2 linked regions of the Elephas maximus indicus genome follow. The protein of the gene in region 1 interacts with the protein of each later gene in a biochemical or structural test. Links are inferred from orthologs where the notes say so. Each region holds a gene or a part of one and is shown on either strand. Other genes may lie near its edges. The genes, in order: TRDN and CASQ2.

Evidence for each region.
Region 2: the proteins of TRDN (region 1) and CASQ2 form a complex in vitro, tested with the Homo sapiens proteins (3 studies listed by BioGRID). The link is inferred for Elephas maximus indicus from reciprocal best matches to the Homo sapiens genes TRDN and CASQ2.

The regions. Positions count from the first base shown.
Region 1 is NC_064819.1:191,001,502-191,005,423, forward strand, and holds the start of TRDN (triadin), read right to left. Parts: upstream 2,726-3,922; coding exon 2,668-2,725; intron 1,963-2,667; coding exon 1,753-1,962; intron 1-1,752. UniProt on the Homo sapiens protein: Contributes to the regulation of lumenal Ca2+ release via the sarcoplasmic reticulum calcium release channels RYR1 and RYR2, a key step in triggering skeletal and heart muscle contraction.
Region 2 is NC_064821.1:164,562,157-164,566,078, reverse strand, and holds the start of CASQ2 (calsequestrin-2), read right to left. Parts: upstream 2,337-3,922; 5' UTR 2,335-2,336; coding exon 2,145-2,334; intron 1-2,144. UniProt on the Homo sapiens protein: Calsequestrin is a high-capacity, moderate affinity, calcium-binding protein and thus acts as an internal calcium store in muscle. Calcium ions are bound by clusters of acidic residues at the protein surface, especially at the interface between subunits.

The sequences.
Region 1 (3,922 bases):
ATGGCTCTGGAAAATACTCTTTTGCTTTGGTTGACATTCATGGGTCTTACCTTTACCCCTTACGTGTTGCTCTCACTTTAGCCCAGCTACCAAGAGTACTACAGCTAGCAGAGTCACCTAAATTGCACCTCCATGTCAAAAAAACCAAAAAATGTAGTTCTATGACTTCAAGATATTTATACGTGTATTTCAAGCCCAGCTACCAAGAGTGCAGCTAGCAGAGTCATCTAAATTTCACCTATGTGTCAACAAACCCAAAAAATATAGTGCTATGACTTCAAGATATTTATACCTGTATTTCTTTTGATATCTTTGGCATAGCTGTTTACTAGCACACATAGTAAGTACTTGATAAAAAATTGTAAAATGAGCGAATAAAGTGTCATAAAGATAAATACGGGATCCTTGAGTGTATAAAATGGAACATATAGTATTTATGTTTTCCAGGTCCTACCTCCACTTCTGGAAACCCTCGTGGCATAGTGGTTAAGAGCTACAGCTGCTAACCAAAAAGTTCAGCAGTTCAAATCCACCAGCAGCTCTTTGGAAACTCTATGGAGCAGTTCTGGTCTGTCCTATAGGGTCGCTACGAGCCGGAATCAACTTGGTGGCAACGGGTTTGGTTTTCTTTTCTTTTTACCCCCACTTCTACTGGAGAAAGAAAATGTGGAGTGCAATTATGAAAGAGCACCATTAAGAGGTTAATGACATGCTTTCGCTTGTAGTAAAAGGTGATGCATGATAAATCCATTCATTGGTTCGTTTTATATTTATTGTGCACCTGATTAATTCCTGTCTTCAAACAATTTAGTGAATAGAGGCAGTCCCAAGTAAAAATAGATAAATACAATTTAAAAATAAATAAAAATTCTCTAACAGAGGGAAGGACAGGGAACTTAGAGGTTGAATTTGTAGTCGTGGTGGTGGTTGTAGAGTCAATTCTGACTCACAGTAACTCCATGTATGCAGAGTAGAACTGCTCCATAAGATTTTTAAGGCTGTGACCTTTCAGAAGCAGATTGCCAGGCCTGTCTTCTGAGGCATCTCTGGGTGAATTGGAAGTGCCAACCTTTCAGCTAGTAATTGATCACCTAATCATTTCTGCCACCCAGGGACTCCTAGAGATTGAATAGACCATATGAAAATCTGTCTTTTCTCATTTGTATTATTTGTATTTTGCCTCAAATCCCTGAGGACACATGGACTCAAGGAACAGTGTCTCATGGCAAGCAATTCTGGGAAAATTCTTTTTAACACACTTTATTTTCAGTAACTCAAAATAGGGTAGTTTGGTGGAAGAAGGTAAGACTGTGTTTGTAAAGGAAGCCTGGAGCCAGAGGATACAGGGGATTAAAAATATTTTATCAAATTTTTCTTTTGCCCAGAAGTTGTTTTGTTTTGTATTACTAAGTTTAAATTTTACAAATTATCTTGTATTTAATGGTGGATAAGCTCCCATTTTTTCCCCCAAATTAGACATCTATTCAAGGTTTCTAATCATTACCTTTCTGAAACTGCAACATTCAACCTTTGTTCACCTCTGCAAATAAAGGGTACCTTTGAAGTCTGCCAACACAAGGAAGGAGAATAGAAGGGGAAGAGCAAGAAAGGAACTCAGCTTCAGTGGCCCTAAGGCACACATGTGGCGCTCTTTATTTCATACACTAAGATGAGGCAAGGAAAAACAAAGCCAGGTCTGGGGAGAACATTTATGTTTGTTTTAATTTAAAAGCTAAATTTAATCTATCTTACCTGAAAAATTTTTGTAATCCACTAAATCAAACATAACAACTGCAACAGCTGACCACGTGATTATGAGAGCAATGACCAGGAGCCAGGCTGCCGGGGAGCTGAATGTCGTCACTATGTCTTCTGTGACTGTCCTCTTCAGCACTTTTCCAGGGGATCTGGGCACTGATCCATTTTTGCTGTCTATCACAGTTGTAGTTGTTGATGCATTTCCTACACAAACATTCAGAAAGGAGAATTACAATTTAGAAAATCAGGTCAAATACTGATGACAAAGAACACAGTTTATAGGAGTTATGCAAATTTACTTCTATAATAAACCAAAACCAAACCTAACCCATTGCCATCAAGTTGATTCCAACTCATAGCAACCCTGTCAGACAAAGTAGAACCGCCCCTTAGGGTTTCCAAGGAGTAGCTGGTGGATTCAAACTGCCTATCTTATTTAAAAAAAAAATTTTTTTATTGTACTTTAGATGAAGGTTTACAGAGTAAGCTAGTTTCTCATTAAACAATTCATATGCGTACTATTTTGTGACATTGGTTGCCAACCCTATGACATGTCAACTTGTTCCCAATCTCCCCTTCTTGATCTTGGGTTCCCTAGTACCAGCTTTCCTGTCCCCTCCTGCCTTCTTGTTCTTGCCCTTTGGGCTGGTATGCCCATTTAGTCTCTTTTCTTTTTTTTTTTTTATGGGCCTGTCTAATATCTGACTGAAGGGTGAACCTTAGGAGTGACTTAGGTACTGAGATAAAAGGGTGTCTGGGGGCATAGTGTCCGGGTTTCTCCAGTCTCTGTCAGACCATTAAGTCTGGTCTTTGTTTGTGTGTGTGAGTTAGAATTTTGTTCTACATTTTTCTCCAGCTCTGTCTGGGACCTTCTTTTGTGATCCCTGTCAGAGCAGTTAGTGGTGGTACCTGGGCATCTAGTTATGCTGTACTCAGCCTGGTGGACATTGTGATAGTCGTGGTCCATTAGTCCTTTGGACTAATCTTTCCCTTGTGTCTTAGGTTTTCTTCTTTCTCCCTTGCTCCAGATGAGGTGAGACCATTGGAGCATTTTAGATGGCCACTCACAAACTTTTAAGACCCCAGGCACTACTCACCAAAGTAGACTGTAGAACATTTTCTTTATAAACTGTGTTATGCCAGTTGAGCTAGATGTTCCCTGAGACCATGGTCCCCACAGCCCTTAACCCAGTAATTTGATTCCTTAGGGAGTTTGGATGTGTCTATGGAGCTTCCATGACCTTGACTTAGACAAGTTGTGCTGGCTTCCCCAGTATTGTGTACTGTCTTACCCTTCACCAAAGTCGCCACATATATATTGGAACTAATATATTTTTTTGGAAAATTGTTTAATCCAGCAGTCTCTATTTCTTTGTCAATACTGTACAGTATTTAAAATATCTGCATTGACATAGGAGGGAAACTACATTTAATTTGCAATTCTTTGATTACTAGAAATGAGATTTTTTTTTTCCTGTATTTCAAATCTTTTTTTTTTGGCTATTTTTCTATAAGTCTCCACTTGGTGGCTTATAAAATCATATATATGAGAGTATCAATTTATCTGTTGTTTATATTGCAATAACCCTGCCACCCCTGGTAACCATTAATAAAATTTAGTTCATATACATCTGCCTTTTCTATTTCATATAGCTCAGATCACACAAAATTTGTCCGTTTGTAACTGACTCATTTCATTCAACATAGTGCTTTCAAGGTTCACCCATGTTGTAGCATGTTTCAGGACCAGATTTCTCTTTATGGCTGAGTAACATTCCATCATATATACATACCACATTTGGTTTATCTGTTCATCTGTTGATAGACATTTAGTTTGTTTCTACCTTTGGCTATTGTGAATATGCTTCTATGAACATCATTATACAAGTATCTGTTGGCATTTCTGCTTTCAATTCTTTTGAGTATATACCTAGAGTAGAATTGCTGGTTCATGCAGTTATTCTATGTTTAATATTTTCAGGAACCACCAAACTCTTCCACAGCAGCTATGCCATTTTAAATCTCAGCAGCAATGGATGAGGATTTCAATTTTTCCACATCCTCACCAACACCTGTTATTTTCTGTTTGTTTAATCGCAGCCATCTCAGTGGGGGTGAAGTGATAACTCATTGTGGTTTTGATTTGTATTTCCCTAATGATTAA
Region 2 (3,922 bases), on another chromosome or scaffold:
TGGATCTGATTCTGTTGTGCATGGGGCTGCCATCAGTCAAAGTTGATGTGATGGTAGTTAACTGTAACAGAAGGCTCTCTGAGAGTGGGACCACAGTCTTCTTGGTATCCTAGTTCCTTGCCCAGAGCCTGGACATAACGAATGAGTGGACAGAATGAATTCCTTGTTTTCCTGTTCTAGCAGAATCCTGTATATCTGCTTTTCCATTTAGCCTGTAAACACTGCAAGGGCATCTTCTCCTTTCCTACCCTCCACTGCCCTTGGTGTAAGTCTGTGTACTTAACAAATGCTTTCTGGAAAACCGCATTTTCCCCCAGGAATGCTAAATAGCTGAGGTTGGCATTTAGTCCAACTGCCTGGCATCCTAACTCCTTAGATTGATTGTTTTCAAACTCTCTATTGCTGGAGAATGCTTTCTCCAAATGAATTCTTCTGCAGAACCTCCAGGGAAAAGGCAGCTGGACTGCTGCCTGCTATGCCTCAAGGCAACTCTGAGGATCCCCTGGCACACTGGGGATCATTGGTTATAAACCTAAAGGAGCATCGTGCCCGCACTGCTTGAAGTCAGCAATGGCCAATCTCAATAGACACGTCACTCAGTGCCCACTGTTAGATTTTTTCTGAGTGAGACCAGTTAGGAGGCTGTTGCACTAGTTCAGGCAGAGCCTGATGGGAGCCAATCTAAGGCAAATGGAGAAGAGATAAACATGAAAAGAGCAAGTTCACAAAATACAACAACTGTCCAGTAACTCCAAGGGTCAAATAGCCAGAAAGACGCTACTCCAATTCCTCTAGGCTGAGCTTGGAGAAAGGTTCCTTAAGACGTACCAAGCCCCATCATGTCTTTGCTGGAAGAATACCCACTGGTCCATTCTTACGAGTGCTTGCCCCAGCTTGTTCTACCCAAACTTTTAAATCACTGGAACGCCACTGTTTCCCTGCAGCTAAGTTTACTGGAAGTTCTCCCAAATTGAATTTCTCACTAAAACAATGGGAAGGGGGACTACTAAGGAATCAATAGGCTGCTAGGGGAGAAGGCAGAACTCACTAAGCTGCTTTTGACTCTACGGAAAGAGTTTAACATACTTTGCTTCCCTGCTCAAGGGAAAGAACACTCCTTAATTTATCTCCAGGGAAGGAGATACCGCAGACATTCGTATTAATAATTCATTACCATTTTACAGTCATGAGTTCTTCCTCCTGTCTAACCTAAATATTGACTCCTGTAGTTTAAATCTTTTTGAAAAAATCTGGACTTCTTGAAAATAAAATAGAAAACAGTTGTCTGTAATTCTCCAGGATAATGAACTTTCACGGGCCTGAAAATATTTATTGAATCACCACTAATAATGTTTTTTTTTCCCTATGCTTACTACTCCGAATCCAATCAACCTTTCTTCAAAGGTCCTGTTTTATAATCTGCTGCTATTTTTTTAAAGAGCCTCTCTTCACTGACCATGCAGAAAAAGGCAAATGCGCAGAACATGTGTGTGGGTGTTTGAAAACTGGAGGAGTTACCTGTACTCTCTGTGCTTGGGATTACAGGTACAAGAATCTTAAAGAGCACTTGCATTTAAGTATGACCTAAGGACACAAGAGATTACAACTTCCACTGTGTAGTCACTTACCCGTTCCTCTCCTCAATGCTCCCTGTCATCCTTTGTGATAATGCCCGGCTGGGTTTTAGCCTTAAATTTAGAAGCCACTTGGGACCCCAGAGTCACTACTATTAAAGCTATCTTTTGTTGCTTGCTTCAGCCAAGAGACAAGGAGATAATAGGTGATGGAAGAAGAGATCCGACATCTCTCAGAGAGATCACCATGGTGGAGAAATAGAGAATCTAGCCTTTGAGCTTGCTCTAGTTGCTGAAGAATAAAGGCTTAGTTCTTTAGTGTTATTTTCTCTAGGAAGGAACTGCTCATTGTACAGAAACAAAAATATTATCAGATGATTAATGTGAAACTATTCAGATCAGGCTGGGACTTATATTTATGAAACTCTTTCCAACCCAAACTAAGCTATGCACCATCATTTTATATTTATCTTAAAAATAGTCCAACTATCATTGGAGAATAAATGCAACTGTCCTTTTTTGGCAAGAGATATTTGTTTTTTCCTTGTATATCCCAAAAGTCACACTTACCTAGTTTCTTGGCAAGCTTGGCTTCTTTCTTGGAATCCACCATCACAAAGCCTATATCTTTATGCTCTAGGACCTGGGCCACAAGCTGAAGGGAAAGACAAATAGGAGGGTAAGTGGGCTGAGGGAGAAAGACGGTAGAAAATATCACAAAACAATATTTTGATGTATTGACAGGATGGTTCTCCTCCATACTTCCTGTTAGTCTGGGCAATTGAAGCAGCAGCTAAGGAATTCTGTGCTTATTATCTCAGGTGAAGGATGACTCAGCAGAATGCTGAGAACCAAGGAGATCAAATCTGAAGACCAGGCCTAAGATAAAAGAGCTGAAAGAATATATCCAATGTGACACCCTCCTCTGCCTTTGCCATAGGTAAAATTGAATTGGGAGAAGAGAGAATCAGAAAGGAAGCAAAAGTACCTGAGAAGTGGCTCTGAGCCTTGCCCCTGCTGCCAGGTCAACCTGGAATAGGGTGGGGACGCAAGAGGACCACAGATAGTTTGAGGGATCTTAGAATAAAGGAGGCCCAAATCCCCTATATCCTAGCATAATCCCCCAGTCCCCCCACCCAGTGCTTGTGGCATAGAAATGCTCATTTGGTGTATCTGGCAAATAGGCCTGAGAGGGCCTCTCCAGATTTCCTGAAGCCCATTGACAGGAAGGAGTGGTAGAGTGTCTCCTGTGTGGCCAAGAGTGACACAGTAGGAAGTATAGTTGGGGAGGGAGGAAAGCACAGAGAGACTTCAGCTCCAAAGGTAAGGTGGATGCAGCAGTGTCCTCAGTGGGCAGATGGCTGAAAACTACTCTGGGCTGATACCAGTTTTGAGGATGCCACAGAGCACGAGATTGGCACCATGCTAAGCTCCCTGAAACTTAGATATGAGGAGATAGGGAGACCCTCAGTTGCCTGAGATCTAATCCCTGCCATATGGCTGAATGGAGGCTTGAAATAGAAATAGAGTGGAGATGCTACTGGAGAGATCATGAGACACTAATCTTACTTTTTTAAAATTAAACTTTTGAAAAGACAATTGGAGATTAGAATGCAGTTGTAAGAAAGAATACAGACAGTACACTTTACCTTATTTCCTACAATGGTAGCATATTGCAAAACTATAGTATGCTATCACAGCTGGGACATTGACATCAACACAGTCAAGACATAGAACTTTTCCATGACCTTAAAGACCCTTTGTATTGCCTTTTTACAGCCACCTTCACTTACTCCAGTTCCCACCTCCACTGATCTCTTCTCCATTTTTATAATTTTTTCATTTCAAGAGTGTTTTATAAACAGGATCATACAGCATGTAACTTTTAGGACTAACTTTTTTCATCAGCATAATTCTCTCCCTGGAGGTCCATCCAGGTTGTTACGTGTATCAATAGATCATTCCTTTTTATTGCTGAGTAGTAGCTCATGATATGAGGTACCACAGCTGGTTTAGTCTTCACCTGTTGAAAGACATCTGGGCTATTTATATTTTCGGGCTATGATGAATATACCCAAAACCCATTGCCAGTGAGTCAATTCCGACTCATGGCAACCCTATAGGACAGAGTAGAACTGCCCCATAGAGTTTCCAAGGAGCGCCTGGTGGATTCGAACTGCCGACCTCTTGGTTAGCAGCCGTAACACTTAACCACTACGCCACCAGGGTTTCCATGATGAATATAGCTGTTATAAACATTCATGTACAGGTTTTTGTGTGAATGTTGATCTTAACTTCTCTGAGATAAATGCCCAGGCAGGCAATTGCTGGGTCACATACTAGCCACA